Linked DNA regions of Saccharomyces cerevisiae S288C. Changing the gene in region 1 together with any one later gene gives a genetic interaction. Each region holds a gene or a part of one and is shown in the gene's direction. Other genes may lie near its edges.

Region 1 (4,572 bases):
GAATGCGTTCCATCATCTATTTACTACAAAACGATAAATTTCCCCGTTTTCTTTTACTTTTACTTCATTTAATATAATTCATATTTATTTCCCATGTACCAATTAATTACTCATAAAAAGAACAGAAATAGAAAAAAGTTGTATATAACAAGCCAAAAAAAAGAAAAAAAAAGGAAAAAAAAGAAAACACAGCTTATTTCAAATTGCAATCTGCGTATTTCGTAAGTAACGAATGATCTCACAGCATTGCTTTTTTTTTTTTTTATATATATATGTACATTACCTATGTCACATATGACCATGATGAATACAACACTAAAAACCAAGGCCTACTATTCAATTGTTCTCTATATGATTTCCATTCTAGCAAAATCGAGTGCTACCGACCTGCCGTTTTCTTTACCTTTCGAACCATTGAGCTGTTAGCCTTCTCTTCACAGAAACTGAAAGTCATTAAAAGCCTCCCCTTCAACAATTCCCTTGTCTTTTGTTTCAGCTATATAATGCGTTTATAGCTCTAATTGTGGTCGAATAGGAAGAATTTGCGTTAACACCCGTAACTAGCTTTCCATCTGTAATAGAGTAGTCATCCCAGGGATGGATTGGCGCCAAGTACTTGGCTCCATTCTTGTTTGCAACGCGTTCAACCGTTGTCAATTTTCTGCTCCTCAAGATGTCGTCAACTCCCAGGGCGATTTCACCCTCGAGTGGGAAACCTGTTATAGCTTTGCCTTCGATTAATGGTCTTGTTGTTTTGATATCTATTAATCCATCGAAAAGGAGCGGTCCATGACAGATGGCAGCGATCACACCCCCATTGGCATATATCTTGGATGCAATATCTTGCAGATTTTTAGCTTTGGGATAGTCAAATAGAGCACCATGTCCAGCAGATGCAAAGAATACTTTATAGTCGCTGGCGTTGACTTCATTTGCGGTCTTGATCCTCGCTAACGCCTTATTGAAGGCGGAATTTTTCGTTTCAAAGTTCATCTTATCTTCGCCACCAATAAAGCTCTTTGGCAAGTAATGTTCATCCCAGCCAAATCCACCAGTCTCAGAAACGAAGTCCACTTCGAAACCATGCTTTTCGAATGTATCGAACGATCGCAAAATCTCAACTACAAAAACGCCTGTTTTCGCACCATCTTTGTAGAAGGGACCGTGGTATGAAGTAAGAGATATTAGCGCTCTTTTTGGAGTCATTGCAAGGCCAGTTTTCTTTTTGAATGAAGGAGAAAAGTGTTCTAGAAATATGTTTTAGTTCTAAGTATCGTTGTCTGGAGCAAGCAAAGAAAAGCAGACCTGTATGTGCAACTTTCCTGTTTTCCATTAAAATCTCAAGAACCGACCCCTTGACTGTGCTCATATATCAAGTATCGGTTTTAAAGTCCCCTAATTGTGATAATTGCAAGAACGACAGTCAGAAAGATATTTTTTTTTTTCTTTCTCTTTACCTATCCTCCATAAAAATACCTATGCTGATACTGAATATCTTCATTTGCAGCTATGCAATATTTCAGATACCCCATTTTACCCAAGAGTTTCTTACTGGTGGTTGGATTTTCTTTAAGACGAGAAGATTACCAGTCCTGGATGTTCGTGAATGTGCCTATTGCGTCATCAGCGACTCCGCGCCAAGAAAAGAAATACTCGCATGCTCGGATTTATAGAATCGCATAATGGAAATACCTTCCTTAAAGGATGGAGATAAGGAAAAAATGACAAGAACAAGGAAGTACTTGGGAGCTTTCTCCGACATGGTAAATATTTGAAACTCACGCAGCTCTCCTGGAAAGTTGGATCTGGAAAGGTAAGGTTGTTTTTTTTACAGACATCAACCAAAATCGGTTCTTGTAGTAGACAATGTCACAGATCGCCACAAGTTGAAAAAAAAGTTTCGATGAACTGGATAAGGGGAGAGGTCACAAACAAAGTGTAGGGGGTGAGTAGTATAGTGGTAACTTGTTCATTTACCTAAATAACATTCTCACTAGAAAAGAGATATTGAAAGACTCCTCGTTTACCTAACTTGGCTGGTTCTTAGGTATATAATAGAAACATGGATCTGGCAGGTTATCACTTACAGTTTGCACTCCCACCAGGTTACAATTTTCATTATATATAGTTATTTTTTACCACCACTTCTTCTTCTTTCACTTTGTCTTGCAATAGAAATACCAAAACAAGGTGAGGAAAAAATCGAATCTCAACGATAAAAATATGTCCATCACGAAGGTACATGCTAGAACGGTGTATGATTCTCGCGGCAATCCGACTGTTGAGGTTGAAATTACAACAGAGAATGGTCTCTTCAGAGCGATCGTCCCATCTGGTGCCTCCACCGGCATTCACGAAGCTGTTGAACTTAGAGACGGGAACAAGTCCGAATGGATGGGAAAAGGGGTGACCAAGGCAGTCAGTAACGTCAATAGTATCATAGGGCCTGCTTTAATCAAGTCCGAATTATGTGTAACCAATCAGAAGGGCATAGACGAGCTCATGATATCGTTAGACGGAACTTCTAACAAGTCAAGGTTGGGCGCCAATGCTATCCTTGGTGTTTCCTTGTGCGTTGCTCGAGCTGCTGCCGCACAAAAGGGAATTACTCTCTACAAGTATATAGCCGAGTTAGCGGATGCTAGACAGGACCCCTTTGTTATTCCTGTTCCTTTTTTCAATGTTTTGAATGGTGGAGCCCACGCCGGTGGCTCTTTAGCTATGCAAGAATTCAAGATCGCGCCAGTCGGGGCTCAGAGCTTTGCAGAAGCCATGAGGATGGGTTCGGAAGTTTACCATCATTTGAAGATATTGGCGAAGGAGCAATATGGACCTTCCGCTGGAAATGTTGGTGACGAGGGTGGAGTTGCCCCCGATATTGACACTGCCGAAGACGCCTTGGACATGATTGTGGAAGCCATTAACATATGCGGTTACGAGGGTAGAGTGAAAGTAGGAATCGATAGTGCTCCTTCTGTTTTTTATAAGGACGGGAAATACGACCTAAATTTCAAGGAACCGAACTCTGACCCATCTCACTGGCTCAGTCCAGCCCAGTTAGCAGAATATTACCATTCATTGCTAAAGAAATACCCAATCATTTCCCTGGAAGATCCCTACGCCGAAGATGATTGGTCCTCGTGGTCTGCCTTCCTAAAGACTGTCAATGTTCAGATTATTGCAGATGACCTGACATGCACCAACAAGACCAGGATCGCCCGTGCTATAGAGGAGAAATGTGCGAATACTCTGTTGCTGAAACTCAACCAGATCGGTACTCTGACTGAGTCTATTGAAGCCGCCAATCAGGCTTTCGATGCTGGATGGGGTGTAATGATATCGCATAGATCAGGTGAAACCGAAGATCCGTTTATCGCTGATTTGGTCGTTGGTTTAAGATGTGGTCAAATTAAATCGGGCGCTTTGTCGAGATCAGAAAGACTGGCCAAGTATAATGAACTTTTGCGTATCGAAGAGGAACTGGGGGACGATTGTATATATGCTGGTCATAGGTTTCATGATGGAAACAAACTATAAAGGATTGTCTTGTTTCCTTTTTTTTTTTTTTTTTTTTGTTTTTTTATGACTAAATAAAGTAAATCATATGAGGTTTTATTTTTTATTTCGTTGATTTGGGTTACAGTATGGAAATGGGGCATTTGACACAAGTTATTTTATTCATATGTTTTATCTTGTAGGAAATCAAACCGTTTTTAAAGTTTTCCATTGCCTACACACAAAATCATTACGAATCTGTCTGAACAAGGGTGGACGTGTGGGGGAAGGCTGTTCCAATCAAGAAATGCTTACAACTCTACTAACACTGCAGTTTTTCAGCTTTCTGATTAATCTCTTCGGTTTAAATTTTTTAGCAGCTATTACTTTCTAGTAACCCTTATAACGCGGTTGGTATCAAATCTTCCTGATAGTACAAGCAGACCTTTGACCCCATTCTTGTTGTGTCTTGAAATCTTTTTTTCTGACAAAAGTAAGAAGTTACACCATAATAGAGAAGTTAAATAATGAAAGTGTATCGATCATAGAAATGATTTTATTTTTTTCAACTACTGTTACGGTCAAGAAACTAATACTGAGGATAAGTTTTCGCAACAATGATTTTGGTACAAGTGATTTAAAGTCTTGAATTACTTCAACACAATTTGCTTTGCGACGGTTTAGAATAACGTAATCGTATCAACGAATCCACTAGGCGCGCGTAAAAATTACAGACTCTAACAATATACGACTCCCAGCACATACCTACTATTCTGTACAATTCCGGGAAATAGGAGGGTACAGTATTATTTTTTCTCGGCGATCGTTTAGGGTATACTGGAGATAGGCTTAGCAATACGCTTCTGAACGAGGATCTATAGCAACTAAATTCAGACATTCTGCTATACCAAAAAAGGAAGTATCACAGGCACGGAAAAGGGTTTTATAAGGCACCTCGGCACCCCTATAACTGGCATTCTCACATTCGGCGCATACGAATAGACAAAGGCCCCAGAAAACAATACCTTCGCATACAGAATCTATAAAGATGCATGCCTCGTTTAAAAACAAAAACAT
Region 2 (5,539 bases), on another chromosome or scaffold:
TTCAGAAACTCGAAGTATGCCTGCTTCTTCTGGCCTAGAAACTCCAGTGACCGCGAAAGATATAATTATCTCTGAAGAAATCCAGAATAACGAATGCGTCTATGCTTTGAGTTCCCAGGACGAGCCTATCCGTCCTTTATCGAATTTAGTGGAACTTATGGAGAAAGAACAATTAAAGAACATGAATAATACTGAGGTTTCGAATCTTGTCGTCAACGGTAAACTGCCATTATATTCCTTAGAGAAAAAATTAGAGGACACAACTCGTGCGGTTTTAGTTAGGAGAAAGGCACTTTCAACTTTGGCTGAATCGCCAATTTTAGTTTCCGAAAAATTGCCCTTCAGAAATTATGATTATGATCGCGTTTTTGGAGCTTGCTGTGAAAATGTCATCGGCTATATGCCAATACCAGTTGGTGTAATTGGTCCATTAATTATTGATGGAACATCTTATCACATACCAATGGCAACCACGGAAGGTTGTTTAGTGGCTTCAGCTATGCGTGGTTGCAAAGCCATCAATGCTGGTGGTGGTGCAACAACTGTTTTAACCAAAGATGGTATGACTAGAGGCCCAGTCGTTCGTTTCCCTACTTTAATAAGATCTGGTGCCTGCAAGATATGGTTAGACTCGGAAGAGGGACAAAATTCAATTAAAAAAGCTTTTAATTCTACATCAAGGTTTGCACGTTTGCAACATATTCAAACCTGTCTAGCAGGCGATTTGCTTTTTATGAGATTTCGGACAACTACCGGTGACGCAATGGGTATGAACATGATATCGAAAGGTGTCGAATACTCTTTGAAACAAATGGTAGAAGAATATGGTTGGGAAGATATGGAAGTTGTCTCCGTATCTGGTAACTATTGTACTGATAAGAAACCTGCCGCAATCAATTGGATTGAAGGTCGTGGTAAAAGTGTCGTAGCTGAAGCTACTATTCCTGGTGATGTCGTAAAAAGTGTTTTAAAGAGCGATGTTTCCGCTTTAGTTGAATTAAATATATCCAAGAACTTGGTTGGATCCGCAATGGCTGGATCTGTTGGTGGTTTCAACGCGCACGCAGCTAATTTGGTCACTGCACTTTTCTTGGCATTAGGCCAAGATCCTGCGCAGAACGTCGAAAGTTCCAACTGTATAACTTTGATGAAGGAAGTTGATGGTGATTTAAGGATCTCTGTTTCCATGCCATCTATTGAAGTTGGTACGATTGGCGGGGGTACTGTTCTGGAGCCTCAGGGCGCCATGCTTGATCTTCTCGGCGTTCGTGGTCCTCACCCCACTGAACCTGGAGCAAATGCTAGGCAATTAGCTAGAATAATCGCGTGTGCTGTCTTGGCTGGTGAACTGTCTCTGTGCTCCGCACTTGCTGCCGGTCACCTGGTACAAAGCCATATGACTCACAACCGTAAAACAAACAAAGCCAATGAACTGCCACAACCAAGTAACAAAGGGCCCCCCTGTAAAACCTCAGCATTATTATAACTCTTGTAGTTTACATGGTGATACTTTATATCTTTGTATTGTCTAGCTATTCTAAATCATCTGCATGTAATAAGAAGTTGATCAAAATGACTCGCTGCGTAAAACCTCTCTTCGATCGGAGGTGCCGCCTAATTTATCGCCTAGCACTGCGCTTTTTCAAAGTTTTTCAGAGCAAAAAATGAAAAGTAATGAGCACAACAATAGAAGAGTATCATGATATATAAGGTCATAAAACTAGGTTTCAGGGGCTATCGGCAATTTGAGGAACCTTCAACCTGCCTCAAGTAAAAATCGCTTCGTAACATTAATACAAATTCTTTTTGCAATTATGGAAGGAAGATCAGATTTTGTGGCGACTTCACAGTCCGGAAGTGAAATGAGCCATAGTGAAACTAGGAATAGAACTGGGATGAATGCTAGGAAAAGGAAATTCGCCTGTGTGGAATGTCGTCAGCAGAAGTCGAAATGTGATGCTCACGAAAGAGCACCGGAGCCATGCACTAAGTGTGCTAAAAAGAATGTCCCATGCATTTTAAAACGAGATTTCAGAAGAACTTATAAAAGAGCAAGGAACGAAGCCATTGAAAAAAGATTCAAGGAACTCACCAGAACTTTGACAAATTTAACTTCGGATGAAATTTTGAAGAAAATTGAAGAGGAACAGGAAATTGTTTTGGATAACAGTAATTTCACAAAAGAAAAAGTAAAACAACTCAGGAAGAGTGCTTTTGAGACGACAGAAATAGAACCGAGATCATACAAAACACTTCGAGGAGAACCTATTTCTTACAGTACCAACAGAAGACATACGGATTCTTCTCCTTTAACGCTCTTAAGCTCGTCGACAAACTTCGACCCTGTTCACTCAACAAACGTTATGACAGATGATCAACTTAAGTGCTTGCCAAAAAGCCTGGGCGACGTATATTTGTCAAGCAGCGATATTGCTGAGCTGTTTCAAGAATTTGCGACAAAATATCATCAATTTTTACCCGTCGTTGACCTTTCGAAAGGAGCAGAGCGAATTTATCACTTATCTCCTTGCTTATTCTGGGTCATCCTGCTCATTGGTTTAAGGCGGAAATTTGGGGCTACAGACTTAATGACTCGATTATCAGTGCTAGTAAAGTCAGTTTTATCAGAAATCACAATATCTCCAATAATTCGATATACTCCATCAGATAAGGACGAACCCGTTCTAAATGTAGCATCTGTATATTCCGTGCAAGCATTTCTTTTATACACGTTCTGGCCTCCCTTAACCTCTTCATTAAGCGCCGACACTTCGTGGAATACCATAGGAACAGCGATGTTCCAAGCGCTTCGGGTAGGACTAAATTGTGCAGGTTTTTCAAAAGAGTATGCTTCGGCAAATTCAGAATTAGTTAACGAGCAAATACGAACTTGGATTTGCTGCAATGTTGTATCTCAAACAGTTGCATCATCATTTGGTTTCCCAGCTTATGTTTCATTTGATTATTTAGTAATCAGCTCTATTAGAGTACCAAATTCAAAAAGCCAAGTAGATATACCCAATGAACTAAGACAAATGGCTCAAATTGCTAGATTTGAGAACCAAATCGTAAACACAATGAACTCCACCCCGGCGAGTGTTACTGGGATGGTAAGTCAGGAAGAGAAGCAGCCCTTGTTACACGTTCTTAATCAACAACTAAGTCAATTGGAGATTAGTCTTGAAGAAAATAACCTAGATGATATCCGAAAATTTTTATTACTAGTGGCCAAGGTTCACTTATTAACCTATTACTTCACTGATGTTACCTCCCAAAGTGCTGGAAAATCAAATGGTAATATTTATGAGGGATCATATTCCATTATGGAACTCGATACAAGTTTTGAAACGAAACGTGGATTGGTGAAAGTTTATAATGCCGCCGTAAACTTTCTTATACATGCCAATAGTATGTGGGAACATGATCCTACCATTATTAAGTACTTTCCTGGTTTGTTTGTCTTGAATATATGGCAATCTGCCTGTATTATTAGTAAACTCATACATTCATCACTTCATTCAATGCTAGATGTTAACTCAGGCAAAAAAGCTTATAACAACGCAATTTCATTGACGTTTAATGCCTCAGTTTTAAAATATGATATGGCGTACAGATCATCCGGAATAATGCGAAGCATATGGAGTTTATTTGCTAATATGTATGATGCCTGGAAAAACGACCAAAAGGAAGGTGGAGGTAGACTAAATAATGATTTCAATTTAGGCATCACCATAAAATCTAGGATGTCAGTAAACGTTTTTTTTGACTGCTTATATATTCTAAAAGAGAAATGTGGTATGGCCAAATTGGAGAGAGAGACCAAGGTTTCTACAGCTTACAATGTTGATGAAGAGGAAGAGGAAGATGAAGATGAGGAGGGAGAAGAAGAAGAAGAAGAAGAAGAACTAAGTAGTAAAGTTCCAGAAAATATGGATAGCCAGCAACTAAGGACAAGGAAATTCACCAATGTAAGGCATCCAGAAAAGAAAGCAAGAAAAATAATTGAAACAATTCCGCTAGACCCAAATCCAATAAATGCAGGCTCTACCAGCAGTGGAAGCTCATTAACGACCCCAAATAGTCAAGTAGCGAACACTATATCATATAGAGGAATCCTCAATAAAATGTCACCTAGGGAACAACTGAATCATGCAAATTTAGATTCCAGTGTTTCTACAGACATCAAGGACACTGAAGCTGTCAATGAACCTCTGCCAATAGGGAGGAATGCTGAACATCCGGCAAATCAACCGCCTCTTTCAATAACACAAATGCAAGAAAACACACTACCTGCGACACAAGCCAACTCTTCTCTATTAGAAACGTATCCCATTGTTCAATCAAACCCCGTTACAACTACAATCAAAGAATCACCCAATTCCATCATGGCAGGTTGGGATAACTGGGAATCTGATATGGTTTGGAGGGATGTTGATATTTTAATGAATGAATTTGCGTTCAATCCCAAGGTTTAAAGTCCTTTTCTTTTTTTGCGTAATGTTTACTTACCCTCGAAAAAATGTTATGTAATGACTGCGGTGCTACAGGAGAGGTAAATGATTTTCTATATACGTTTATATTTCTTCCATTTACGCACACTATTTTTTGTCCTTGAATAATTTAACTCAAAAAAAGTGTAAAAAACTGTGTCATTAGGTATATGTTCAATACTTTTGATCTTCAAATGACGTAAAAAAAAGTTTTCAGACGGACTTAAACCGCCAACCAGCCTTGGCCACAGGTGTATGATGCGAAGATTCGTAAGCGCTCACGTTAGTCACATCTCAGGATTGGAAATTATACTAGATAATAAATGGCTTTATTTAATCATATTATAGTTGATATAACAAATCACACCTCCGCTTAATTTATACGTAATAGTATTTACAGTCCTTATGGGTATCAAGACATATTAGGTTAGGAGAACTAAAGAAAAAAAAAAGGACTGTTTGTGCAATTGTACCTGAAGATGAGTAAGACTCTCAATGAAATTAGCACTTTTCTTGGATTTCTATTAAAGCGCTAGCATCTTTGTATACGTCTGACTGGGTAAATTTTTGAAAGGAATCGTTATTCATCAGTCTATACATTTCATTGCTAACGATCTCGAAGAGGGGATATAATTTCCTGAGGACCTTCAAAGTTGCTGGAAATGATTCAACCGATTTGGTATCATTTTGGGTGTTGTCCATGCCATAACGAACAATTGTATGTGAATTTTCTACTGATGCATTAGGCGAATGCGTTTCTGCCAGAGTTAACGGGGCAGGTTTATATTCCTTTAACTGATGTTTGAATCCTTGCTTCTTAAATGAACAGTTTTCATTTGAAAGATTTTTTGAAGGTTTTAGACTCACTTCAGGTGGTTCACCTAACGTGTCAGCCTCCGTTGAGCTAATTGATGAAGCTGCTGATTCCGCGGATGCAGGTGATGGATCGTATAGATTAGTAGGAAAGTGTTCCGATAATGGAGAATGAGGGTGCAACATGATGTCAGAAATATTCTGACGCAAGTTATGATGGATATTTAATTGATATG

Evidence for each region. Genes that interact genetically often act in the same process or in processes that back each other up.
Region 2: mutations in ERR1 (region 1) and LEU3 together harm fitness more than expected from each alone (negative genetic interaction), as found in Saccharomyces cerevisiae (2 studies listed by BioGRID).

What each region holds. Positions count from the first base shown.
Region 1 is NC_001147.6:1,078,053-1,082,624, forward strand, and holds ERR1 (phosphopyruvate hydratase ERR1), read left to right. Parts: upstream 1-2,223; coding exon 2,224-3,537; downstream 3,538-4,572. Other genes in the region: HSP33 (glutathione-independent methylglyoxalase family protein), read right to left, coding at 493-1,206.
Region 2 is NC_001144.5:1,034,279-1,039,817, forward strand, and holds LEU3 (leucine-responsive transcriptional regulator LEU3), read left to right. Parts: upstream 1-1,814; coding exon 1,815-4,475; downstream 4,476-5,539. Other genes in the region: hydroxymethylglutaryl-CoA reductase (NADPH) HMG2, read left to right, coding at 1-1,486; GTPase-activating protein SST2, read right to left, coding at 4,992-5,539. UniProt on the Saccharomyces cerevisiae protein: Factor for control of RNA levels of a group of leucine-specific genes.